Canis lupus familiaris: one gene and its partners. The protein of the gene in region 1 interacts with the protein of each later gene in a pairwise test. Links are inferred from orthologs where the notes say so. Each region holds a gene or a part of one and is shown in the gene's direction. Other genes may lie near its edges. The genes, in order: MID2, SYT17, FARS2, KIFC3, MFAP1, DCX and IQCN.

What was found.
Region 2: the proteins of MID2 (region 1) and SYT17 interact in binary tests that used the Homo sapiens proteins (3 or more experiments, as listed by UniProt). The two-hybrid records come from large-scale screens. The link is inferred for Canis lupus familiaris from reciprocal best matches to the Homo sapiens genes MID2 and SYT17.
Region 3: the proteins of MID2 (region 1) and FARS2 interact in binary tests that used the Homo sapiens proteins (3 or more experiments, as listed by UniProt). The two-hybrid records come from large-scale screens. The link is inferred for Canis lupus familiaris from reciprocal best matches to the Homo sapiens genes MID2 and FARS2.
Region 4: the proteins of MID2 (region 1) and KIFC3 interact in binary tests that used the Homo sapiens proteins (3 or more experiments, as listed by UniProt). The two-hybrid records come from large-scale screens. The link is inferred for Canis lupus familiaris from reciprocal best matches to the Homo sapiens genes MID2 and KIFC3.
Region 5: the proteins of MID2 (region 1) and MFAP1 interact in binary tests that used the Homo sapiens proteins (3 or more experiments, as listed by UniProt). The two-hybrid records come from large-scale screens. The link is inferred for Canis lupus familiaris from reciprocal best matches to the Homo sapiens genes MID2 and MFAP1.
Region 6: the proteins of MID2 (region 1) and DCX interact in binary tests that used the Homo sapiens proteins (3 or more experiments, as listed by UniProt). The two-hybrid records come from large-scale screens. The link is inferred for Canis lupus familiaris from reciprocal best matches to the Homo sapiens genes MID2 and DCX.
Region 7: the proteins of MID2 (region 1) and IQCN interact in binary tests that used the Homo sapiens proteins (3 or more experiments, as listed by UniProt). The two-hybrid records come from large-scale screens. The link is inferred for Canis lupus familiaris from reciprocal best matches to the Homo sapiens genes MID2 and IQCN.

What each region holds. Positions count from the first base shown.
Region 1 is NC_049260.1:82,076,228-82,078,962, forward strand, and holds part of MID2 (probable E3 ubiquitin-protein ligase MID2), read left to right. Parts: intron 1-46; coding exon 47-449; 3' UTR 450-2,735. UniProt on the Homo sapiens protein: E3 ubiquitin ligase that plays a role in microtubule stabilization. Mediates the 'Lys-48'-linked polyubiquitination of LRRK2 to drive its localization to microtubules and its proteasomal degradation in neurons.
Region 2 is NC_049227.1:26,253,006-26,256,505, forward strand, and holds part of SYT17 (synaptotagmin-17), read left to right. Parts: intron 1-937; coding exon 938-1,557; intron 1,558-3,500. UniProt on the Homo sapiens protein: Plays a role in dendrite formation by melanocytes.
Region 3 is NC_049256.1:6,682,059-6,685,988, forward strand, and holds the start of FARS2 (phenylalanine--tRNA ligase, mitochondrial), read left to right. Parts: upstream 1-1,130; 5' UTR 1,131-1,257; intron 1,258-1,591; exon of another isoform or gene 1,592-1,808; intron 1,809-3,930. UniProt on the Homo sapiens protein: Is responsible for the charging of tRNA(Phe) with phenylalanine in mitochondrial translation.
Region 4 is NC_049223.1:57,991,420-57,994,919, forward strand, and holds part of KIFC3 (kinesin-like protein KIFC3), read left to right. Parts: exon of another isoform or gene 1-268; coding exon of another isoform or gene 269-280; intron 281-1,140; coding exon 1,141-1,206; intron 1,207-1,703; coding exon 1,704-1,847; intron 1,848-1,992; coding exon 1,993-2,232; intron 2,233-2,671; coding exon 2,672-2,845; intron 2,846-3,463; coding exon 3,464-3,500. UniProt on the Homo sapiens protein: Minus-end microtubule-dependent motor protein. Involved in apically targeted transport. Required for zonula adherens maintenance.
Region 5 is NC_049251.1:10,836,831-10,840,330, reverse strand, and holds part of MFAP1 (microfibrillar-associated protein 1), read left to right. Parts: intron 1-85; coding exon 86-215; intron 216-485; coding exon 486-673; intron 674-1,193; coding exon 1,194-1,302; intron 1,303-1,402; coding exon 1,403-1,563; intron 1,564-2,855; coding exon 2,856-3,015; intron 3,016-3,500. UniProt on the Homo sapiens protein: Involved in pre-mRNA splicing as a component of the spliceosome.
Region 6 is NC_049260.1:85,154,160-85,157,659, reverse strand, and holds part of DCX (neuronal migration protein doublecortin), read left to right. Parts: coding exon 1-181; intron 182-3,500. UniProt on the Homo sapiens protein: Microtubule-associated protein required for initial steps of neuronal dispersion and cortex lamination during cerebral cortex development. May act by competing with the putative neuronal protein kinase DCLK1 in binding to a target protein.
Region 7 is NC_049241.1:45,151,459-45,155,566, forward strand, and holds the start of IQCN (IQ domain-containing protein N), read left to right. Parts: upstream 1-1,308; 5' UTR 1,309-1,432; intron 1,433-3,002; 5' UTR 3,003-3,051; coding exon 3,052-3,135; intron 3,136-4,108. UniProt on the Homo sapiens protein: Essential for spermiogenesis and fertilization. May be required for manchette assembly in elongating spermatids.

The sequences.
Region 1 (2,735 bases):
ATCATTAATAAATGTTCATTTCTCTCTCCTTTCCATGGGCTCACAGGTATGCAATTGGTATTGCCTACAAGTCTGCTCCCAAGAACGAATGGATTGGCAAGAATGCCTCCTCATGGGTCTTCTCTCGATGCAATAGTAACTTTGTAGTGAGACATAACAACAAGGAAATGTTGGTGGATGTGCCCCCACAGTTGAAGCGTCTGGGTGTCCTTCTGGATTATGACAACAACATGCTGTCGTTCTATGACCCAGCTAACTCTCTCCATCTTCATACTTTTGATGTGACCTTCATTCTTCCAGTTTGTCCAACATTCACAATCTGGAACAAATCCCTCATGATCCTGTCTGGCTTGCCTGCCCCAGATTTTATTGATTACCCTGAGCGGCAGGAATGCAACTGCAGGCCTCAAGAATCCCCTTATGTTTCTGGGATGAAAGCTTGCCATTAAGTTTCAAGAGAGCATATAATTCACTGGCTCTCTAGTTCAGCACTTCCTTCCTTCCTAAACCTCAGTTAGTGTCCAATATACAAGATACAAAATGAAGTTCATTTGAAGCATCCAAAATAACTAGATATTACAGATTTAATTTTTGTGCATTAAAGCCTATATTTGAATTAAGGTATTGAGTTTCTCAGAACGAATTGTCTGAGTAGTCTGAGTTCAAGCCATTGGAGGGGAAATCTAGGGAATACCCCTCTTATCACTGGAGAATTAACAATTCCCAGTAATCTGGGAGTATAAATTATTTTGGAAGGAATTAGGATAATTCTAAGTAGATAATGTAGAAAGATGCTCTGAACAAGGGGCTAGCCAGCCAGAAGGGTGTGCATGGGCACATGTTGGCCTTTCTAGTTTGGCTAAGTAGGATTTGAAGTGTGGAAGGATCACACATTATATGTAGTTTTTGATAAAAGCCTACAATCAAGGATTTATTATAGCGAAAAACATGTATGTGTATATATAATATATATATATAAAATGAATAAATAATATGTTATATATTCATTTTATAATTATATATACATAGTAAATTTTTTGATTTGCTCATTTGAGTAAGAAATATAGTGGAAGGGAAACTAAATTATAGCATCCATTTTTGTCCCCTAAAGGGAACATCAAGATCAGGCAATATTTCCTTCCTCCCTCCATTCATTCCTCCCATTCTCTCTCCTGTCACACAGACATTCACGTGCAATAATGACATTGATGGTGGGAAGAGCTCTAAATTGGTTTAAGAGAGTTTGAGGGACAAGATTGCCCAAGAGATGCTATGCTGGGCAGAAAATTGATCCAAGTAGAAGCATTATATGTAGCACGGTTTCACTGAGGCTACCTAATGCAGGAGGTTCATCTGAATTGTTAAAAATTCCATCACAGAATGTCTCAAAGAAATAGTTTTATTACTCTCAAGTACATACAGTTACTAGAATTAGGCTAAAACAAGAGTTGCACAATGGACGTTCTTTAGGAACTTTATTTACTTAATCAGTAAGAATGGAGTGTTTTAGATGCAACAACCATTTGCATATAAATGTACTTGTATTTTCAGATAAAACACTTCTGAAGTGCTTGAGAATGCCTGAGAACCGTCTGTTTTCAACAGGTTAAAGGATTGTTTCCTATGAGACCTTGTTTACACTATTCCTCTGCTTTAGCCAACCCTTCCTGGCAAATGCAAATGTAACTTTCATCCCAATCTTCATCACTATTGTTGAAGGGCATCAAGTTTTATGGTCTCTGCTTTTGTCAGTTTCACTGCAGAGACTGGGGATGTCAGAATCAGAGTTTTCTCCTTCCCAGCAGATAAGTCTGCTTCAAGGAGTCTACGTCTTGGGAGATGCGAAAATACTACTTTTGTACAAAGTGGTAGCTGTAACAAGCCACAGACTAGAGTCTTGAAACAATGCTAAAACGTCTCCTCTCTTCCTTTCAACCACCTTGGTGGATATTCATTCATTCGTTCGTTCGTTCGTTCGTTCAACAAACTACTAGATGCCGGGTACCACTCTGCTGCTGATGTATTGATAAAACACAGTCCCTTGCTGTCAAATGCCTTACTATTGTGTAGGAGAGACAAAGTATCTATATAAATCCCCTAAATAACAGCTTTGTATTGTTTATTCACCTAACATGGAAAGCAGGACTGATGCCCATTCAGATGGCAGACTCAAACTTACGTATTCTAGCAGCAAAGTTGGCTTTTTGGTTAAAAAGCCCAGATGTAATTTCTGCTAATTAGGAAATGAGCAACTTCAATCAGATCCAGCAGTGCTAGGAAATAGCTTACTGCTGTGGAAAGCTTATACATAGCCTTTGGACTAAAACAATCCTAGTTCTAATGCCATTTACGAGCGGTGTGACCTAGGATATAAGCACTTCACTTCTCTGAGCCTCTGTTTCCTCTTCTGTAAAATAATACCTACCTCACAAGGCTGTTGCAAAGATTTCAAAAGATAGCACATATAAACTGCCTAGCACAACACCTGGCATGTAGCAAAGTGCACAACAAATATTAACCTCCTCCTCCCAGCTCCAGCCCCAATACACTGTTGTGGTGCTTTAAATGTATGCCTTTCATTTCTGAGTTACTCTGGTCTCTCCTTGGGGGAGATTTTAAACAAAATAAATGATTTCCCCCTTCATAAAATCTCTCAGTGGCTCCCCTAACATTCAGTAGAAGGTCCCATTTACTTAGGGTTGGGCTTTTCAGGTTCCTGTTTGCTTTCCCAGCTT
Region 2 (3,500 bases), on another chromosome or scaffold:
TTGACCTTATATAAAGATTTTTATCACCAGAAAAATTAAATAAATAAGGCAGTAGAAAACTTTTGGAGATAATGGATATGTTGATAGCACAGAGTGTGGTGGTGGTTTCATGGATACATACTTACCTCCAAACTCATGCACAGCCTTTTGTATGCCATTTGTGCCTCAGTTAAATAGTTTTTTTTCTTCAGTTAAATAGTTTAAAAAAAAAAATTCCATGAGCTCACTGCTAGAATAGAGGAATGAGCAAAGATTCAAATGGTGGACTTGGGAGCCATGAACTCTGCTGGTTGATGGAGAAGGGTGAGGTGCCCCACAAGTGGTGAAGTTCAAATATGATCGTTGACAAAGTATAATAGTTACCATTTAGTGACCTCTTACCATGTGCACGTTCTATGCCGAGCCCTTTCCATGCATTGGCTCTGTGAATCACCACAGTCTTTGAAGTAGGGGCTATTACTGACTCCATTTTACAGATAGGGAAACTGAGTCCCAGAAATTCTGGCCTCAGGGTCCACTCTCTGAAAATGGAGGCAGTATAGGGTAATGGTTAGCATCAAGACTTTGGAGCCAGACAGGCTGGGCTTGACTCCTGGTTCTTCCTCTCACTACTTGGGTCACTTTTGGAGAATTATTTAAGGTTTCTGTTTCCTCATCTGTCAAATAGGGATAGTCGTTATCTAAAACCTTGTGAAGATGACTTGATATGTCAATGCATTTAGAACAGTGCCTGGCTGTGACAGAGGTGATAATGCCACCAAGCTACCTCTCATAGAATAAATAAGAGGCTCTCAGGGTGTGGAGAGCAGATGGCACAGAGCATCATGAAACAGAGTGAACAATGTGAGAATCTGAGAAATGGTGCTAATTTCACAAAGTGGCCCAGGTTCGGTCCCATACATGGCGGTCTTAATTATTATTTCTGGTGACTGTTTAGGTCTCGAATCCAGACGACCCAGCTCCCCACTTATTGATATTAAACCCATCGAGTTTGGCGTTCTCAGTGCCAAAAAGGAGCCCATCCAGCCCTCGGTGCTCAGACGGACCTATACCCCAGACGACTACTTCAGAAAGTTCGAGCCCCAGCTGTACTCCCTTGACTCCAACAGCGACGATGTGGACTTCCTAACAGACGAGGAGATCTTGTCCAAGTACCAGCTGGGCATGCTGCACTTCAGCACCCAATATGACCTGCTGCACAACCACCTGACGGTACGGGTGATCGAGGCCAGGGACCTGCCACCGCCCATCTCCCATGACGGATCGCGCCAGGACATGGCTCACTCGAACCCCTATGTCAAGATCTGTCTCCTGCCAGACCAGAAGAACTCTAAGCAGACGGGGGTCAAACGCAAGACCCAGAAGCCTGTGTTTGAGGAGCGTTACACCTTCGAGATCCCCTTCCTCGAAGCTCAGAGGAGGACCCTGCTGCTAACTGTGGTGGATTTTGATAAGTTTTCCCGCCATTGTGTCATTGGGAAGGTGTCCGTGCCTTTGTGCGAGGTTGACCTGGTGAAAGGCGGGCATTGGTGGAAGGCGCTGGTCCCCAGCTCTCAGGTAAGGGGTGGTTTGGTGGTGTCTCCTGCTGGGATCTTTGCAAAAAAAAAAGATGATTATTTTTATTTTATTATTGAAATCGTCTTTGTATTTTAACAACTTTTCATTTTGAAATAATTTTCTACTTCCAAGAAGTTGCTGATGTAATATAGAGTGGTTGTGTTCTCTTCATCTAGCAACCCCAGTGAGAAATCTTACACAAGCAGAGTGCCTTAGCAATACCAGCAAATTGGCGTTGGCAATGGAGCTTCGGACCTTATAGAATTTTCACAGATTTTTACATGCACCATTGTGTGTGTGCGTGCGTGTGTGTGTGTGTGTGTGTGTGTGTTTGTAGTTCTAGGACATTTTGTCACATGTATAGATTCGTGTAACCACCACCACCCTGGGAGCTTTTTTGTCATTGATGCCGGGTTATTTAATAAGGAGAATGATTGTCCAGGGTATGAAGCTATCAGTTATTTTGACTTTCAGAAATTGATTTGGGAAAAATAAAATGAGGGCTGCAGAACAGGATGATATATGGATGTTTTTCAGGCAAATTGTGAGATTGGCTTCTTTCCCCCTACCAGCCCACAGACTTGCAATTGGCTGCTTGGGAAGCCACCCACGGACCAGGCTCTGTCCCCAGTGGGCTGATAGAGTCCCTCCCTTGGGCATTCTGTGGATGACAATGCACGAACTGTGCAGAGAAGGACGAGGTAGGAGCCCAAGGGAAGGAAAAGACCCAGCCAGCTGGAGGCCAGTCTAGTCCATTCAGGCTGACGGTGACAATCCTGTGTAATGCAGGCGGGATTATTTTATGTCAAACATGCCAAGGTGCTTTTCAAAGCTGAACTCTACTGGTCAGGGATTTGATGATCCAGCATCACACCTGGAGTATTAGGTTTTAAACATGGGGACTGGAGGGGTTGCTTGTGTTGTGTGTGTGTGTGTGTGTGTGTTTCCATTCAAAGATAGATTTATCCTTCTCTTCATTTGGATCCCCCTAGGAAGAAGAGAATCCTGAGCCAAGGGAAGTCATTTATTAGGGAGGTGACAGCAGAGGAAACACCAGGATGAGGGTGGGAAATTGACATAAAGTATGCATTATCCAGCTGGCCACCACTTTGGGGAGATCAGGCCCTAAACCTGCTGGGGAAATGGGAAGCCAGGATTAGACACATGTCTAGAGTCTTTTCACCTGAGTGATGGGGGAGTTGGGGTGTGCATATACCAACTCCTATCAGCCACTGAATGAAGGCTGTTGGCAGGGGTATGGAGACGTTCCTTCCCTGGCATTTCTGGCCTGTTAATACTGGTTGATAAAGAGACCTTTGACATCCACAGATGCAAAAAAAAGTGCAAGAGCTGGCAGCTACATGCAGACCTGTGTACACTGAAGTGATCAGGACCAGGAGGTGATGGTCAAAGTGTTAGCTGTGTTTGCTATAATCCCGTATCCTCCTTCCCATCACATGATCAGAATAGATTGGGCGCTTTCCATGTAGCCTCTTCAATATTTGATATCACTGGGTTTTCGACCATCAAGAGGGTTGAAAGAGGGAGACCCACCGGACAAGATCGACTCTGTATCGCCAGCTTGACTGCGCACATCAGAGAATTTGGACATCAACACACCTTGCCTCCTTTAGGTATTGGCTGAAATGTCACAACTTCAGCGAAGATTTTTCTGGCACATCTGCTGTAGTTTGATTCTCCTGAAATCTGAGGCCAAAGGCCAGGACCTGGGTGCAGGTAGATTCTTTAGGAGGCTATCCCGGGGAACAGGAATGAGGGGTAAGGAGGACACAGGGAAGGAGGGAACATCAGTAGTGGTTTTTCAGGTTGCCATTCTGGCCCTAGCATGCTCGTCAGGTGGGCCCCCACACCCTCACGGAAAGACTGGGAAGGAGAAAGAAAGGCCAGGACCAAGCCCGAGCAGAACTTCGGGACCGTCTGTA
Region 3 (3,930 bases), on another chromosome or scaffold:
CCCCTGCTCCGCCCCAGGTATCAGAGGTTCCCCCCCGCCCCCAGGTGTCCGAGGCCCCCCTGCCCCCCGCCCCCAGGTGTCCGAGGCCCCCCTGCTCCCCCCCAGGTGTCCGAGGCCCCCCTGCTCCCCCCCAGGTATCCGAGGCCCCCCTGCCCCCCGCCCCCAGGTGTCCGAGGCCCCCCTGCCCCCCGTCCCCAGGTATCCGAGGCCCCCCTGCTCCGCCCCAGGTATCAGAGGTTCCCCCCCGCCCCCAGGTGTCCGAGGCCCCCCTGCTCCCCTGCACGTGTCCTCTCCGCCCCTCGCTCCCCCCGAGGCGCCGGGACCGCGCTGGCCGGCCTGGGAGGCAGGTGGGCGGCGGAGGCTCCGCACCCGGGCCCGAAGCCGCCGCCGCGGGACAGACACAAGCCGCCCCCGGCCCCGCCGCCCGCCGCCCGCCGCCCGCCGCGTCACCTGTAGTTGTAGGCGCTGAAATGCTTGCTCTCTCTCAGCATCGCCCGGTACAGATCTAACACTTGTGCGCGGCTGGAGGCTGCCATTTTGGAAAGGGGGAAACAAACAAACAAACCCGCGAAGCGGGGCGTCTTCGGGAAGGCCCCGACGTCACCCAACCCGCTCGGCAAAGCCGCGGACGCGTGAACCGCGCGGCGGAGCCGGGCCGGGGCGGCCAGCGGGCCGGGAGCTCGGCAGGCAGGCGCAGGCGGGCGCAGGCGGGCTCGGGGCAGCCCGAGGGGGAGGCGCCGGCCGGGAGGCGGGCCCCGGGCGCGGCCGCTCCCCCCTCCCCCCCCCCGCGGGCCGAGGCGGGCAGAGGGGAAGCCGCCGGGACGGGGCCGAGCCCGAGGACGCCTCGAGCGCCCAGAGCCCGCCGCCCGAGAGCTGCCCGCCGCCGCGTTGCCATGGTTACCGAGCGCGCCGCCGCTCGACGCCCCGCCCCCGGCCGCGGAGGACCCGCCCCCTCGCGCTGGGGCTGCCCTCCGCGCTGCCTGAGGGCCCGAGCCGGGCTTCCGGGGCGCCTTGACTTTCCCGCGCTGTGTCTGTGGGTCCCCAGCGCAAGGGCGCTTCCGGGGTGCGGGGTCGCGACGCGGGGGCCGCCGAGGCGGTGGGGGCGAGGGACTCCCTGCTGTACGGCTCCGCTCGGGGCGACCGGCTTGGGGGCTTGAGAGCAAGGACCCCTCTCTTGCCAAGATGGCGGCGCCCAGCGAGCTGCGGGGGTCTCGCTGAGGCTGCGAGTGCGGCGGCGGCTTGGAGCCTCCCGGGGGGGTGAGCAGCGCGCAGCGCGGGGTGCCTGGGGGTGCCTGGGGGTGCCTGGGTCTCCTGCGGGCGGTGGGCGAGTGCTGGCCTGGTCGCGGCCGCGGTCGGGGGCGCTGGCTCGGGGCTCCCCTTCCCCGCCTGTGCTCTGAGCTCTCGAGCTTTGCAGGGTCCTGGGTCCTTCGGGGCCGGGGCCGGGCTGCTGCGCCCGCGGAGACCTGGGGCGCCGGGGCCGCTTCCGTGCATTTAGCCGACCTGATGATTTTTTTTTTAAAGATTCACTTATTTATTCATGAGAGACACAGAGGCGCAGGCAGAGGGAGAAGCAGGCTCCACGCAGGGAGCCCGACGCGGGACTGGATCCCGGGACCCTGGGGTCACGCCCTGGGCTGCAGGCGGCGCTAACCGCTGAGCCCCCCGGGCTGCCCCGCCGACCGGATGATTGTTAACGTGGCTTTTGCATTTCACCAAGAACTTGGTATTTTCCGGGACTTTAAGGGGCAGGAAGCGCCCGTCAGCGTACTTGCAACCTGGTGTCCCTGCGTGCACCCAGATGGCACTTGGTAATGTTACTCCTTGGGATGCAATGGCGTTTGAAAAGAAAAAATATAAAAGGCATGGAAGAGAACATACTTTTTTTTTATCATTATCATTTTAAAGATTTTATTTATTTTATTCATGAGAGACACACTCGAGAGGGAGAAGCAGGCTCCATGCAGGGAGCCCAATGCGGGACTGGATCCCGGGACCCCGGGGTCATGACCTGGGCCCAAGGGAGGCGCTCAACTGCTGAGCCACCCAGGTGTCCCCCAAACATACTTTTTTTTTTTAAAGATTTTATTTATTTATTCATGAGAGACACAGAGAGAGAGAGGCAGAGACCCATGCAGAGGGAGAAGCAGGCTCCTCGCAGGGAGCCCGATGTGGGACTCGATCCCGGGACCCTGGGGTCACAACCTGGGCCGAAGGCAGATGTTCAACCACTGAGCCACCCAGGTGCCCCAAACATACTTTTTTTTTTTTTTTTAAAGATTTTATTTATTTATTCACAAGAGACACACACAGGGAAAAGCAGGCTCCCTGCAGGGAGCCCCACGTGGGACTCCATCCCAGGACACCCGGGGTCACGCCCTGGGCCGAAGGGAGGTGCTCAACTGCTGAGCCACCCAGGCTTCCCCCAAACATACTTTCATTAAAATCTTTTTAAACCTCCTATTTGATTTTTTTTTAAGGCCTCTCATTTCTATGAACATCAAAATAAGGCTTTTTTTTTTTTTTTTTAAATAGGATACCCAAACTTCTGTCGCTCTTGCAGGTTGATCACGTCATTGGGCGAGTCTTCCCTCAGGATTATTCGAAGAGATTTTAATAGTTTGAGTTTGTCCTGGGCATTGCTTAAACGTTCAAGAAAGGAATTGCACGTTTTTACGGAGTAAGATCTAGAGCTTTTTTTTTTTCTTTCCGTGCTATGTGAGTGCTAATGACGTAAAAGGCGGCACCTGGGAAAAGGACACCATTCGTCCAAGTTACACATAGAGAAAGCTGGGGACCCCTGGGTTGCTCAGCGGTTGAGCGTCCAGGGCATGACCCCGGGGTCCTGGGATCGAGTCCAGCATTGGACTCCCTGCGGGGAGCCTGCTTCTCCCTCTGCCTGTGTCTGTGTCTCCCCCACCCCCATGTCTCTCATGAATAAATACATAAAATCTTAAAAGTACAGAGTGCTTCAGGTGGAGTACTGGGGAAGTGCTATGGGGGTCTCAGCGTGAGAGGTCACTTTCATGGTTGGGGCCTGGGCCACCCCTCAGATGGACAGTCAATGTGATTTTGACTAAGTTTCAGGGATTTTTAAAAAAATTCCCCAGGTGATTGGTTGCAGTCTGGTAGAGAAGCATTGATCTGTAGGAATTAGGGGGCCTTTTGGAGGAGGTGGTATTCATGTTGCTTGAGAGAATTTAGGTTAGCTAAATCTTTTTTTTTTCTAAATATTTTATTTATTTATTCATGAGAAAGAGAGAGAGAGAGAGAGGCACAGGCAGAGGGAGAAGCAGGCTCCATGCAGGGAGCCCGGTGCGGGACTTGATCCCAGGTCTCCAGGATCATGCCCTGGGCGGAAGGCAGGAGCCCAACTGCTGAGCCGCCCAGGGATCCTCAGGTTAGCTAAATCTTGAAAAGAATTCCGGGATTTGGATATGTGGATGTATTAGTAAGATGGTTATGAAGAATGTAGGTTTACCCTTACAAAGGGTAAAGGAAAGAGTCTGAGTGAGGGCTAGGGAAAGATGATCCTGGTCTACAGAACTCTGAAGCCTTATGAGGGAGGGAGTAGGAGAGTGCTTGACGGTGAGTGCAAGAGAAGTACCCGGAAAGGGCTGAAGCCAGCTGAGTCCTTGTAGGATCTCAGTTAATCCTTTGGAACCTTGATGGGAAAGAAAGCTGTTAATTGCATTTAAAGATAGGGAAGCTGAGAAGTTAGATTACTGAGCTGGAGGTAAGCAGCTAGGAAGCGGGGAGGGTAGGCATTGGCCCAGGATATGATCTGTCTAGCTGTGATGCTACACTGCTTTACAGACAGTCTTCAGTGGAAGCTTCAGGAGTTTGAGGTGTTTTAATTTTTCTTGGATAACATGGGTAAATTTCAGATGTATTTGAAGTTTAATTTCGTTGGATTCCCACTTATTTGTGAAG
Region 4 (3,500 bases), on another chromosome or scaffold:
AAGGACAGAAGTCTGGAGACATGGGCCTGTGTGCTCCCAGCCACGGCCTGCAGGGAGGGCGCTGAGCTTGTCTTCTCAGGGTGGACGCTGGGCATCCAGTCCTGTGCTGCCCCTCACCTGCCTTCCTACTGGTCTGGCCTCTGCAGGCAGCAGACTTTGTTGCTGTTGCTTCCTAATAAGACCCAATGCTTCGTGGCCTGCTTGGGTCAAACCCACCTCCTAGGTCCCCACAGAGAGAGTCTGACTCTCACTGGGCTTTCTCAAGGTGATGTACAGTCAGGTACGGTCATCACAGAATGTTCTGTGACAAAACCCCTAAATATGCACTGATGACATTGGTGCCAAAGTCTTCGGTTGCATTTTGGGTTATTTCCCAAGAGGTTCCTGGAGGGGGGCTGGTGCAGAATTGGGGTCTGGAGTCTGCAGGGAGGGTGGCCAGCTGGAGGACAACTCTAGGGGAGGGTTGTTACCCTGGGATGTACACTCTCAGAACTGGCATCCTGGTGGCTTCCTCTGGCTCTGGCTGAGCCAAGCCACCCTTGCTTCCTGATGGGGTGCACACACCCTTCTCTGATGGTCCCAGCTGTCCAGCAAGGCAGACAGGGACCTGGGGGGTGGGGGGACACAGGTCCAAGACATGCCCTGGTTGCTGGTAGACCTGTCTCTATAGGCAGACTTGCCAGGCACCACTGGAATGGAAAAATCTAGGTTCTGGGCAAGGACCAATCAGGTTTCATTGTGTCTGGAGTTTATACAATTTGGGAGCCCTTTTATGAAAAGGGAATATAAAATTACAAGTATGTAGACACAGGCTGTGGCAAGGGACTGTGCAAGGTGGGGGTCCTGAAGGTCAGCCTCCTGAGTCTGCCAGGGAGCTGCCTCTGGTGTGGGCACAGAGTGGTATAGAGGTCACCTCTGCTGTGCTTGCTCCCCAGACTTTGCTGAGAGCGGGACTACCTGGGTCTTGTGGTAGGAGAGGGTGCTGAAGGCCGTTGGGACAGGGCAGGTGTCTCTCACCCAGAGTCCTGGGTGTGCCCTGATGCTTGAACTGAGGGAGCATGCGGGGCTGAGAAATGAGGCCTGAGCGTGGGCCAGAAGTGAGGAACAAGGCTCACCGTGACTGTGGCTTTGTGCTGGCAGGTGGAAAACCTGAAGGAGAAGCTCATTAGCCAGGCCCAGGAAGTGAGCCGCCTTCGATCAGAGCTGGTGAGGCTCCACACTGCCATCCTAAGGTGGGGGCTGCAGGGGGGCTGGCCTGGCCTTGTGCAGACTGACCCTTCCATTTGAGGTGTGGGACCCCATCCCTCCAGAGCCCTCGAGTCCAGCCCAGCAGATGCCATTGGGCCTGAGAGATGCTCCCCAAATACTTGTCACCACTCACTAGGCCTTCAGAGGTCGTGTGACCCCCAAAGGGAGGGAGGTTAATTCTCATCTGCCGATGTAAAACAGGAGTGTGAACTCTGTGTATAAATATGACTTTCTTGTTACTTTCACACTCGGGAAAATAGCATGAGAGGGGCGGGTAAGGCCATCCCCCCGGCTCCCCTTCCTTCCTCTGTCTTCTCCTTATGTCCCCCTTGAGCTGTCTCCCCTCCCTCTCCTGCTTCTCTCTCCTCTGCGCTGGTGCCCCCTCGGCCTCCCTGCTCTCTGCTCCCGGGGCCTGGCCTTGCCACATGCATGCCCTGTGCTCTGGCTCCGTGCAGGGAGGCACGGACCTGGAGAAGCACCGGGATCTCCTGGTAGTGGAGAATGAGCGGCTGAGGCAGGAGATGCGGCGCTTCGAGGCCGAGTTACAAGAGCTACGGGCAAAGCCGGTGGCCCCCTGCGCGGGCTGCGAACACAGCCAGGTGAGCACAGAGCCACCTGCTCCCAGAGGGCTCGGTCCCTAACGGTGACCCCGGCTCCTCTCCTTGCAGGGAGCCCTGCATGCTGGTACCCCCCCCCATCTGTTACACACTTGTCCCCACCCCGCTCCCAACCACCTGTCTGCAGGAGAGTGCCCAGCTCCGGGACAAGCTGTCACAGCTACAGCTGGAGGTGGCGGAGAACAAGGGCATGCTGTCGGAGCTGAACCTGGAGGTGCAGCAGAAGACCGACCGGCTGGCCGAGGTCGAGCTGCGGCTCAAGGACTGCCTGGCCGAGAAGGCACAGGAAGAGGAGCGGCTGAGCCGGCGCCTGCGAGACAGCCACGAGACCATCGCCAGCCTGCGGGCCCAGTCGCCACCCATCAAGGTGAGCCTCTGGCGCTGGTGGCCACGTGCAATGTCCTTGCTTTCTTGGCTGCACCCCAGTCTTACCCCTTCCCCCTCTTGCTGTCCAGGGCCAGACATGTAGTAGGCATCTGGCAGCCGAGGCTCAAGGCGCCCACACGTGCCAGGCATGCCTGTGGTACATGGCAAGATTCTGCTGTCGTCTTTGCCCTTCCTGTCTGTTCTGTGCCCAGGCTGGGGTCACAGCCAGGCTCTTGGGCTTACTGAGATGAGAGGATGCCCGGAGGCCCTGCAGCATCCTGTAAAGCCAGGACCTTGAAGTTCCTCTAGTTTTTTCTGGGGGCTTTTGGTGGGATGTCCCTGAGGGTCCTCTCCCAAGGCCAGCTGCGTCTCAGGGCCCCCCCGGGGGTGAGGTCGAGGCACCTGCACCTTCAGGCGCCCATCCCTCCTCCCCCTCACAGTACGTCATCAAGACCGTGGAGGTGGAGTCATCCAAGACCAAGCAGGCCCTCAGCGAGTCCCAGGCCCGGAACCAGCACCTGCAGGAGCAGGTGGCCATGCAGAGGCAGGTGCTGAAGGAGATGGAGCAGCAGCTGCAGAGCTCTCACCAGCTGACGGCGCAGCTCCGGGCGCAGGTGCGCAGGCTGCCAGGGCACACGCACGGGGCTGTGGGAGAGCATGCACACGCGGTGGGAAAGCCAGAGGTGGGCCTGCAGCACAGCGCGGCGGTTCAGTACTGGGGGGCCCATGGAGCTGGGTTCCAGCCCCCCCACCCTGCTCTCCCTGTTGGCTGTGTGACCAGCGCCAAGTTTTATCTACGCCTCTGTTTCCTCGTCCATAAAATGATGTGCTCATAGAAGCTACCTCCCTGTGGAACTCAGAATAGTTGCCAAGAGTCCTTGCCTGCAGGCCGGGCACACAGGCTCTTGGAAAGGGGCCTTGGTCACTATTATGACATAATATGCTCTGCTGGGGCCTGTGGCTTGTGTATGTGTTATGTGTCAGGACCCAGGCTGGTGCTGGGGCTAATGCAACAAAGTAGCTGCATGGAGCTCACAGAACTTTCCAGGAGTGAGATGGCCTCTCCTGTGTGTGTGTGTGTGTGTGTGTGTGTGTGTGAGACTGTATGTGTGCATGTGGAGGTGGATGCTGTTTGCTCCTGTACATGTGTGGGGTAAGGCATAGGGCTTCTTTCTGGCACCCACCCCACTCCCTCCTGAGCCCCACGTTGAGCTTCTGGCCTTGGCCGTCAGATCGCCATGTACGAGTCAGAGCTGGAGCGGGCACATG
Region 5 (3,500 bases), on another chromosome or scaffold:
CAGGTGCTCTAAGACTAAGGAAATGTGGGTAATGCTCTTTCACTTTTGTGACATTGGTGTTATACTTGAAGATGCTGTTTTTCAGATTGGCTCGACATCGGAAAATAGTAGAACCTGAAGTGGTAGGTGAAAGTGACTCAGAAGTAGAAGGAGATGCATGGCGCATGGAACGAGAGGATAGCAGTGAAGAAGAAGAGGAAGAAATTGATGATGAGGTATAAAAAGGGAAAATGAGAAGTTCTTTCTGGGTCCGAGAAAAATTGGGGCCTGTTCTCCTTTGTTGAGTTTCCAAAGGCACAAATTTGATACTTTGGCAGAACCCTGATCCAGTGGTTCCCCGTTTGTTGGAGATAGAATTAAAAATAAAATGATGCTAAGTTGTATTTAGTTATAACAGAATTTATTAAATGTGCTGAGGGGAAAATAAAAAGCTGCCTTAGAGCACAGGTCATTGGGCTGACTGACTTGGACATATGACTTGACAGGAAATAGAGAGGCGCCGTGGCATGATGCGTCAGCGAGCACAGGAGAGAAAAAATGAAGAGATGGAAGTCATGGAGGTGGAAGATGAGGGACGTTCTGGGGAGGAGTCAGAATCAGAATCTGAGTATGAAGAGTACACAGACAGTGAAGATGAGATGGAGCCTCGCCTAAAACCTGTCTTCATTCGAAAGTAAGTATGTCATAAACCAGGCCTGATTCCACATAGTTACTACTTTCCATGTCTGAAGATGGAAGCCTTTTTTTCCTCTCTCAGGCTTTTCTGAAATGTCAGCTGTAAGTGAAAGTCTTCTGCCCAGTTCCCTATCTATGCAGAATATTTGCTGAGGAATATCTTGGTATTAACAGAGAACCTGAGTTACGTGCTCATAACTCCCTTTTTAAAGAGCATATAATCTCCCCACAGTCCTGTAAGGCACAAAATTAAACTTGAAAAGTGAATTCCTGGTCCTTTTCTAATGGCAAGAAATCTTACAATTTATAATCCAGAAGGTTCTTGCTATTCAGGCAGTTATCAAAGATGAATGGAATTTTAATGCTTTAAATACCTAGGATGACTCCCAACTTTGGCTGTTTGCAAATAATAGAGCCAGCGATTATTGGGCTTTGTCTCATTTGGATGGGACTTAAGCTAGAGACAAAGAGGTCCACTCTGAGGACTTTGGGCAATTAACAGGACTTCTCTGTTGCAGGAAGGACCGAGTAACAGTTCAAGAACGGGAGGCTGAAGCATTAAAACAGAAGGAGCTGGAGCAGGAAGCAAAACGCATGGCTGAGGAGAGGCGCAAGTACACACTCAAGGTACTGGGGAGTGGCTGTAAGGATTGCATGCAAGGAGGAGTATACTTAGGTTTGTCAGGAAAATAAGGAGATCCAACAGTTAAATGTTCTCTTTACCCAGATTGTAGAAGAGGAGACCAAAAAAGAGCTGGAGGAGAACAAGCGGTCCTTGGCTGCACTGGATGCTCTCAATACTGATGATGAAAATGATGAGGAAGAATATGAGGCATGGAAAGTTCGGGAGCTAAAGAGAATCAAGAGAGACCGAGAAGATCGAGAAGCGTAAGTAATAAGATGGGCCTGTAGTTTAATATCAATAATGGGACAGGTTACTACTAGGGTAACTCTGAGGCTCAATACCTACCATGAGTTAGTTCCATTCTAGCTTTCTTTAGGGTTCCTGCAACTGAGTGAGTTTCTCATAATTGTAATGTGGCTTATTCTAATAAAATTAGTGAAAAGAAACACTCTGTCAGTGTTTCTCTTGATAGAGTGCCAGTGAATACTTCCTGTAGTTTCCTAGTAGGCACACACAAGTTATTCACTGTTATTAATTATCCAATCTTGCATAAAAACCCAACCCAAAATTTGGTGACTTGAAACTGTTGATTATTCCTCACAGTTTTGGAGTTCGCTAAGCAGTTCCTCTGCTGGTTTCACCTGGGCTCTCTTAATGCACTTGGATCCAGCTGGAGAATTAACTGGGCTAGAGTGTCCAAAACGGTTTCATTCACATGTCCAATAGTTAATGCTAACCTGCCTCACTTCTTCAGTGGGCTAGATCGGCTTCCTTATAAAACAGCCTCATGGCAGTATTCGAAGAGGACAAAAGTGGAAACTGCCAAGGTCTTTTGAGGCTTATATGTCATTTCTGCAAAGGGGCATGCATATTGTGAGGGGAAGAATTTGTGGCCTTTAAATACTCTACCACAGTCAGTATTGTTAGATCAGAATCATTTCTGAGCTGCATCACTCATTCTTAAAAATTACTAGGAATGAGAGGGTAATCCCAGATTACAAAAGGAAACCATGAATAGAAAACTCTGTCCTCAGCCTGCAGTTTCTAAGATTTTTATCCTGGGTTTCAAGGAGTGCATGTACCCTTTAAAATCATATACAAAGTTATGTCTATTTGTATTTTTCTGGAGACAAGGGATATATGGCTCCCCTCCCCCCAAAAAGGGTTAGTCACTGCAATCTAATTAATGATGGTAACCCTTGGTTTGTCATGTATGTACATACACAATTACTTAAAAAAATGCCAATTAAATCTTAACACAGTTATGTTAAATTCTGGGTTTTTTTAAAGCCAAGTAGGCTTTTTAGGGAAGGGAAATTACTAACATTGCAAAGTCAAGTAGTAATATTATGTCCGAACCTTATAAAGACTATTGGAAGTTTACAATAAGACCATTTCACCTTTTTATTTGTTGGGCTCCTAATCTTAACTCCTAATAGGCAATGACTAGAATTAAGGAAGGTGAATAATGCTTGAAAGATGAGACTGCATTAAGTTCAGATAATTGAGTCTCTCTGAAACTGGAATAATACTAATAGTTTTGTTCTCCACACAGGCTTGAGAAGGAGAAGGCAGAAATTGAACGAATGCGAAACCTGACTGAGGAAGAGAGGCGAGCTGAGCTTCGGGCAAATGGCAAAGTCATTACCAACAAAGCTGTTAAGGGCAAATATAAGTTCTTACAGAAGTATTATCACCGGGGTGCCTTCTTCATGGTAAGGAGTCAAAAGGGAATGGGAAGTTTGGGCTATAGAAATAATTTGGAACTTTTGAGTTCTTTTCTCCCCCCAAGAATAAACTGTCCTGGGATGTTACTTCTACTTGCCAATGGTCAGTGTTCTCATTTATTTTTGCCTCTAAAGAATATAAATCCAATAGAAAAAAGCATTGACAACACGATTTTAGAAGTAGCAGCCACTGTTCTCCATTCAGGCCCAGATATCAGGAGGAAATGGTGTGTAATAGAAGAATTGAGGAACTAAAATAGTGATCTATGTATATAGATATAGACTACTTAAATCCCCAAAATTAATTAGATAATCACTATTCATAGCTGAGTGAGGAATTTTGCTTATGCAAATATTTGGGAGGTTGAAATTTAATTCCCTTCAATCTGAGCTGACAAAGTGACTAACCAAAAAAAAAAAAAGAAAAGAAAAAGTTTATTATCTAGCCAGTATGTGTAATACCATCAAGATTT
Region 6 (3,500 bases), about 3.1 Mb from region 1:
CTTTGTGCGCCCCAAGCTAGTGACGATCATCCGCAGTGGGGTGAAGCCTCGGAAGGCCGTACGTGTGCTGCTGAACAAGAAGACGGCTCACTCTTTTGAGCAAGTCCTCACCGATATCACTGAAGCCATCAAGCTGGAGACTGGGGTTGTCAAAAAACTCTACACTCTGGATGGAAAACAGGTAAGTAGTTTTTTTGTTGTTTTAATAAAAGTACCTGTCTTTTCAGTTATTCTAAATACCTGGATGCCCATGCTGTCCCTGAGGCATCATTTCCAGTTGGGGGACTCTTCCTCTACCTCTCATCATCCCTACCTGTTATTTTATGTCTCACTGGGAAGAAAGGTCTTTTCAGCAGACAAAACAATCCACCAGAAATCTGAGGCTTTGAAATTCAATCTGCTTATGTCTTATCAAGGAGAATGGTCACTTAGCCTCAGCTTTCTTATCTGCTAAGTAAAGGACTGAGTACCTAGGTTTTACACATTCTCGTGAATATGAATTCATCTATGAAGTGATGCAACCTTGATTGTTCAGTGCATGTCACTCGAAGTGAGATTTGTGGGCTCCTTTCTTAGGTGGCCTGATGTTGGTGTTCAGTGTCCATTCTGGTGAAAAGAGGTTGAGGTAATCCCTCATATTCTGAGAGGACTCAGATACAGGGGAAGCACTAATGTCTCTGGTTCGTTGTCTTTGCCTCGCACTAGACCACGTTTTCTCTTTCTCTCTTTTCCATGTGACATAGCTGTCTGAATTTGGTTCCACTGATGGTTTTGTGTGAGAAAGGGACTATTTCAAGATCCTAAAATTAGCCCAAGAAAGATGCTGCCATCTGTTCCTCTCCAAATCAGGTTCTTCATGTCATTGGTTATGCTACTTAAGTACCACCTATATTAATATCTGGGAAAGAATGCAGCCAGGCATCTCCATCAGACAGATGCACCATTCTCTTGAGCATAGGGAGCTGTAAATGTATGACAAAATACTTCCAAAGGATTTGAACAGTGGCTGGTTCTGTTGGCTCTAAAGGGAATTCTGGTCCCCCATCAGCAAAGACAACTGTGAGTTATTATCAGTCCATACTTTCTACTCCTTAAAATACCTTTGGTGTTTGAACAACTATATAGATTCTAAAGAAGTGACTGATGAGCATTCAAATGCAGAACTATGCCTCCTCCCATAATTTCTGACATATACCGTGTGCCTCAAGAATTTAAATTTCTGGTAAAACCTAAACTCATGGATGTGGGAACTTTTCTAAATTTGGGACTTTTATCTGTTCTTCATTTTGTGATGTGAGTGTCACCTGGAGGCATTGGTTATACATGATGTGTGTTGGTTGTACCAAAGCATGGAGTTTACTTGCAATGGGAAAAGTCACAACTCCCAAGCATCTCTCAAAGAGTATCTCTTTCCTGAGAACCAAGTACATAAGAAACAGGCGCTTCCCAGGAATAGTCTTAATCACTGGAACTTTCAGCTCAGAAAAACAGAACCTAGGAATTTTAGGAGCATTGACAGTGACCTGAGAAGTCATGACATTTAATCTCCCACTTATGGCAGTGATATACTCTACAACCATTTCAGTGTTATGAGACAGCCTATTACACTGTTGAAAAGCTGTGAGTTTTAGAAAGATTTTCCTTATTTTGGGCGTAAGTTCCCTTCCCTAATTCATTCAGCCTCTTGAAGTAATGCATGACAAATATGAATCAAGGGCATAAGACTGGGAATCAGAAGACCTGGTTTCTAGTCTTAATATTGCAACTTACTGTGTGACCTTGGGCTAATCACTTAATTATCCAAAGCCTCCTGCTTCTTCATACAAAGGGGCTGATCACACCTGCCCTACCCATGCTCACAGGATTCTCCTGAAGATCAAAAGAAATAATGGATATGAAAGCACTCTAAATTAGAACATAAGATGTAAATATGTATGCATACAATTCATCATTAGATGAGACAAAATATGTAAATTGCCTGGTAATTTACATGTATATCAGTAAATGATAGCTCTTTTAATTCCACTTTCCCTCCATCATTCTTAGCATGAGTTTCCAACATTTTGTGGAGATATACTACATTTCGGTATGCTGGGATTGCTCTTTTGTTTTCTTTATTTTTTAAAAATAATAAATTTATTTTTTAATGGTGTTCAATTTGCCAACATACAGAATAACACCCAGTGCTCATCCCATCAAGTGCCCCCCTCAGTGCCCGTCACCCATTCACCCCCACCCCCCGCCCTCCTCCCCTTCCACCACCACTAGTTCGTTTCCCAGAGTTAGGAGTCTTTATGTTCTGTCTCCCTTTCTGATATTTCCTACACGTTTCTTCTCCCTTCCCTTATATTCCCTTTCACTAATATTTATATTCCCCAAATGAATGAGAGCATATAATGTTTGTCCTTCTCCGATTGACTTACTTCACTCAGCATAATACCCTCCAGTTCCATCCACGTTGAAGCAAATGGTGGGTATTTGTCGTTTCTAATGGCTGAGTAATATTCCATTGTATACATAAACCACATCTTCTTTATCCATTCATCTTTCGATGGACACCGAGGCTCCTTCCACAGTTTGGCTATTGTGGACATTGCTGCTATAAACATCGGGGTGCAGGTGTCCCGGTGTTTCATTGCATCTGTATCTTTGGGGTAAATCCCCAGAAGTGCAATTGCTGGGTCGTAGGGCAGGTCTATTTTTAACTCTTTGAGGAACCTCCACACAGTTTTCCAGAGTGGCTGCACCAGTTCACATTCCCACCAACAATGTAAGAGGGTTCCCTTTGCTCTGCATCCTCTCCAACATTTGTGGTTTCCTGCCTTGTTAATTTTCCCCATTCTCACTGGTGTGACGTGGTATCTCATTGTGGTTTTGAGTTGTATTTCCCTGATGGCAAGTGATGCAGAGCATTTTCTCATGTGCATGTTGGCCATGTCTATGTCTTCCTCTGTGAGATTTCTCTTCATGTCTTTTGCCCATTTCATGATTGGATTGTTTGTTTCTTTGGTGTTGAGTTTAAGAAGTTCTTTATAGATCTTGGAAACTAGTCCTTTATCTGATACATCATTTGCAAATATCTTCTCCCATTCTGTAGGTTGTCTTTGAGTTTTGTTGACTGTATCCTTTGCTGTGCAAAAGCTTCTTATCTTGATGAAGTCCCAATAGTTCATTTTTGCTTTTGTTTCTTTTGCCTTCGTGGATGTATGTTGCAAGAAGTTACTGTGGCCAAGTTCAAAAAGGGTGTTGCCTGTGTTCTCCTCTAGGATTTTGATGGAATCTTGTCTCACATTTAGATCTTTCATCCATTTTGAGTTTATCTTTGTGTATGGTGTAAGGGAGTGGTCTAGTTTCATTCTTCTGCATGTGGATGTCCAATTTTCCCAGCACCATTTATTGAAGAGGCTGTCTTTCTTCCAGTGGATAGTCTTTCCTCCTTTATCGAATATTAGTTGACCATAAAGTTGAGGGTCTGCTTCTGGCTTCTCTATTCTGTTCCA
Region 7 (4,108 bases), on another chromosome or scaffold:
TGTGGCTTTGGCAGGACCCTGCTGAGCTGAGGCCAAGGTGTGTGTCAGCCCCAGCCTGGCCAGCAGTGATTCAGCCCAGGCATCAGCCCAGCCCCAGGAGGTGGATGGGGACGGTGGCCTCACTTTCGCCTTTAGGACTGTGGCTCAGAGTCAATACCCACTTTTGCCAGGCCCATATGGGGATCCCAAGGGACCTTGGGCCCAGCTCTGTTCTAAGGATGGCCCATCCTCAGAGCCAGACACAGATACCCACCTGGCCTTTTAGGATGTGAACCAGAGTATAAGAGCTGTGCCTCCTTTGCTCTAGACCCTCTCGAGGCTCCCCGGAGCCTTCCTGATAAAACCCAAACTCTCATACTCCTGAGTTCCTCCCAATTCAGTATTCCACCTCCTGGCCCTCTTCTCCTGCCTCCAACCACCTCAGCCCCCGTGTTCCCTAATCATGCCCATCCTGTTCCCACCTTGGGCCATGTGGTGCCCTTCCCCCAGCTCTCCTAAGATTACTCCTTCGCCTCCTGCGCCTCCTGCAGGACTCAGCCCATCCACCCCCTCTTTGATTCCTTCCTAGCAGTTTCACACCCCCAAATTATTTGAGCCGTGTCGCTAGGCAAAGTTAGGTGTTCCTCAGAGGCACCTGGAGGGCTCACTTGGTGGAGCATGTGACTGGATCTCGGGGTTGTTGGGTGTAGAGATTACTTAAAATATATTTTTTAAAGATTTTATTTATTCATGAGAGAGAGAGAGGGAGGAGACGGAGGCAGAGGCAGAGGCAGAGGGGGAGAGGCAGGCTCTCTGTGGAGCAGGGAGCCTGATGGGGAACTTGATCCAGGACCCTGGGATAATGACCTGAGCTGAAAGCAGACGCTGAATCGACTGAGCCACCCAGGCGCCCTTAAAAATAAAATCTTAAAAACAAAAACAAAAAGTTAGGTGTTCAACAAATGCCCAAGGTATGTGAGACTGAGTTTGCCTTGAGACATGTAGGGGAAGAATTTGAGGCCCCCTCTGCTCAGAGCCCTAGTTTTCTATTCAGGACAGGCAGGCAGTATGTAGCAACCACCAAGACCCTTAGTCTGATCTAGGTCTTGCCCCCAACACTGGGTCTGCCTTCTATTTTTTTTTTTTTAAGATTTTATTTATTTATCCATGAGAGACACAGAGAGAGGCAGACACATAGGCAGAGGGAGAAGCAGGCTCCCTGCAGGGAGACTGATGGGGGACTAAATCCCAGGACCCCAGGATCATGACCTGAGCCGAAGGCAGACGCTCAACCACTGAGCCACCCAGGCATCCCTGGGTCGGCCTTCTAGAACTCTCTTCCCCCAGGAGCTGGTGGGGATTGGCTGGAACTTGGCCGTGAGTCACAAAGCCATTGTGGCACCAGGGCCCCAAGGCTGGCCATTCGGGCTGGTGGGTTCAGCTTCAGGGGCAGGTGAGTGGGGCTGGTGGAGGGTTTGGTGGGGGGTACACGGAGGCTGGGTTGTTCTCCCCTGCCCCCCAGCATCCTCAGAGTCCCCTTGGGCCCTCCAGGCCACTTTAAAAAGTGGGTCAGCTTCTCAGCCCCTCAAAACAGGGGCACTTGGGACCCCCGTAAAAACTGATGGTGGGTTTGTCTGCCTGAGGTCCTAGCCTGGAGAGCCTACCATGTTTCCCTGGGAGGCTGGGAAAGTGGTTTTAGCTTGTATAAGGAAACTGAGACTCAGAGGGGTTTACTCAAAATCGCCAAGCCAGCCATTCGGCTTACATGTCTGGGGGCCCCTAATCCTTTTTCCTGTCCCCTGTAATCACATTCCTCTCACTTTGTTGTCTATTTGTTCACTCATTCTGGTTGAGTTCACTGAGAGGACTAAACCATGTGGCTGGTGAAACCGCAGACTCTAGGATAGGTCAGTTCAGATCCTAAAGCTGTTCTCCCTAAATTCTTCAGAACTTAGCTTGAGTGGTTCTCATCCATCTGTCCATCCATCCATCTATCCATCCATCCATCCTCTTTCAACCATCCATCTATCCATCTATCCATCCATGTATCTATCCATAAACATATTGAGCACCTCTTGTGTACACTGTTCTAGGCATTGGGGATTCAACAGCAAATAAAAGAGACAGACATCCCTACCCATGGGCAGCTCATAGTTCAATGGGGGAGGCAAATCAGAAATAAAGTAAAGAAGTATGAAATATAGTATGTTGGCTTCCCTGGGCCTCAGGCTCCTCCTCTGTGAAGTGGAGACGATGACTGTGCCCGCCTCCTGGAGAACCAGTCTCAGGCCCATTACACTGATGCTTGTTCTGAATGGGCCCAGCCCATTTGCGGCTGGGATGAAGACTGGGAAGGGGCAGGACACTCAGGCCATCAAATAAGTGAAGCTAGAATGTTCACCATGAAAGGAGGCAGCACAGGGGTCTTTTAAAACAAATCTATTTTGATCATCTTTGTCTTGAAGTTTTTAATCTCTTATCATGTCAATTACTAATATGGTTGAATTTAAGTCTTCTGTTAATGGGCATTTTTAGATGGTTTCTGGTTTGGGGTGAGTATGAACACTTGTACCTCTTAAATGTAAATGTTAGGGTGGAATTGACAAGTTACCTTCAAGACTGACAGTTTCCCCAGTTGGTCATGATGTGTCCACCCTTTCAATTTTAGCCATTTTTGTGGATCTGGACACCATTTCTAATGGCCGGATAGCATACAACTGTATGAATGTCCTGTTTAATTTAAGCCACCTCCTAAGTTATTTTTAGTTTTTACTCTTCATAAATAATACAGTGATGAACATCCTTGAACACTCTCCTTTATGCACTTGTAACTGACTCCCTAGCAATCACCTTGTTGGTTATTTCTAGTTGATCCGCTTTTACGTATAAAAGAACACTAGTGTAAAATTCCTTTTGCATTCATTTTTGTGGACTTAAAAGTTTTTGGCTTTTTTTTGAAATGTTAGGGTTTTTTATTTTTGTTTTTCTTTTAATATGTCTCCTCACATTGGGCTTGAAAACAGAGCCAGCCCAGGGCAGTGTTGCTGTACGTTGCATGGGATGAAAGGCTGAATGAAGGCTGCTTCCTCTTACAAGCTGGCTTCTGAGATTGCACCTTCTCCTCCTGTTCCTCCTCCAACTCTATGGCCTTCCAAGGTATGAAGATGGCTGGGAAAGGGGAATCGGCTGTTTCAGCCAAAAGTTGGGGGTGGGTTTCTGCCCAACAAACATGTTATGCTTCAGGTGACATATCAAGGATGCTTGGCAGTATCCACCCCAATTCCCTCTGAGCCAAGGTGCTTTTGGAAGCCATAGTGATCCCCTCATTCTTCTACCCACCCATCTGCCAGTGATCTACCCATTACCTGTTAATCATTCACCATCCATGCACTGATCCATCCAGCCATTCATCAGTTCACCTCTTATTCATTGATCTCTTCACCAATTCCTTCAGCTCTCTCCATCCACACACTCATTTATCTACTCAGGTCTCGTCCATCCTCTACTCACTGGTCTGTCCATCCATCCATTCCACCCTTCTTTCCCCTCCTGCTTATTCATCCATCCACTCATTCATCCATTTACCCACTCATCCATCCATCCATCCATCCATCCATCCATCCATCCATCCATCCACCTACCCATCTGTCCATCCATCCATGTGTCCATTTCCTTATTTATTGATCTATTCATCAATTCATTCGTCTACTTCATTTACCTATTTATTCTTCCACACAACCCTTTATCCATCTTTCTAACCCATCCACCATTCATTTATCCAGATATATCCATTCAGTATCTATCTACCCAAATTCCAATCCCCTCCATCATTCATTTATGAATATAGCCACCCACCCAACACTCACCTGTCCACAGTCTGGAACCCAGGCCCTTTGACTGAGATGAGGACACAGAAATGACTCAGACCTGGTTCCTACCCTCTATGAATTCACAGTAAACAGGGAGAGGCAAATAACACACACACACACACACACACACACACACACACACACAGAGGAAATTTCCCAAATAGTGCGATCAGAGCTATATTCACAGTATGTTCCAGATATAAAGGAAGTTCAAAAAGCAAGAAGGTGATTGGGCTTTCAGCTGAGAATGTGCATTGTTG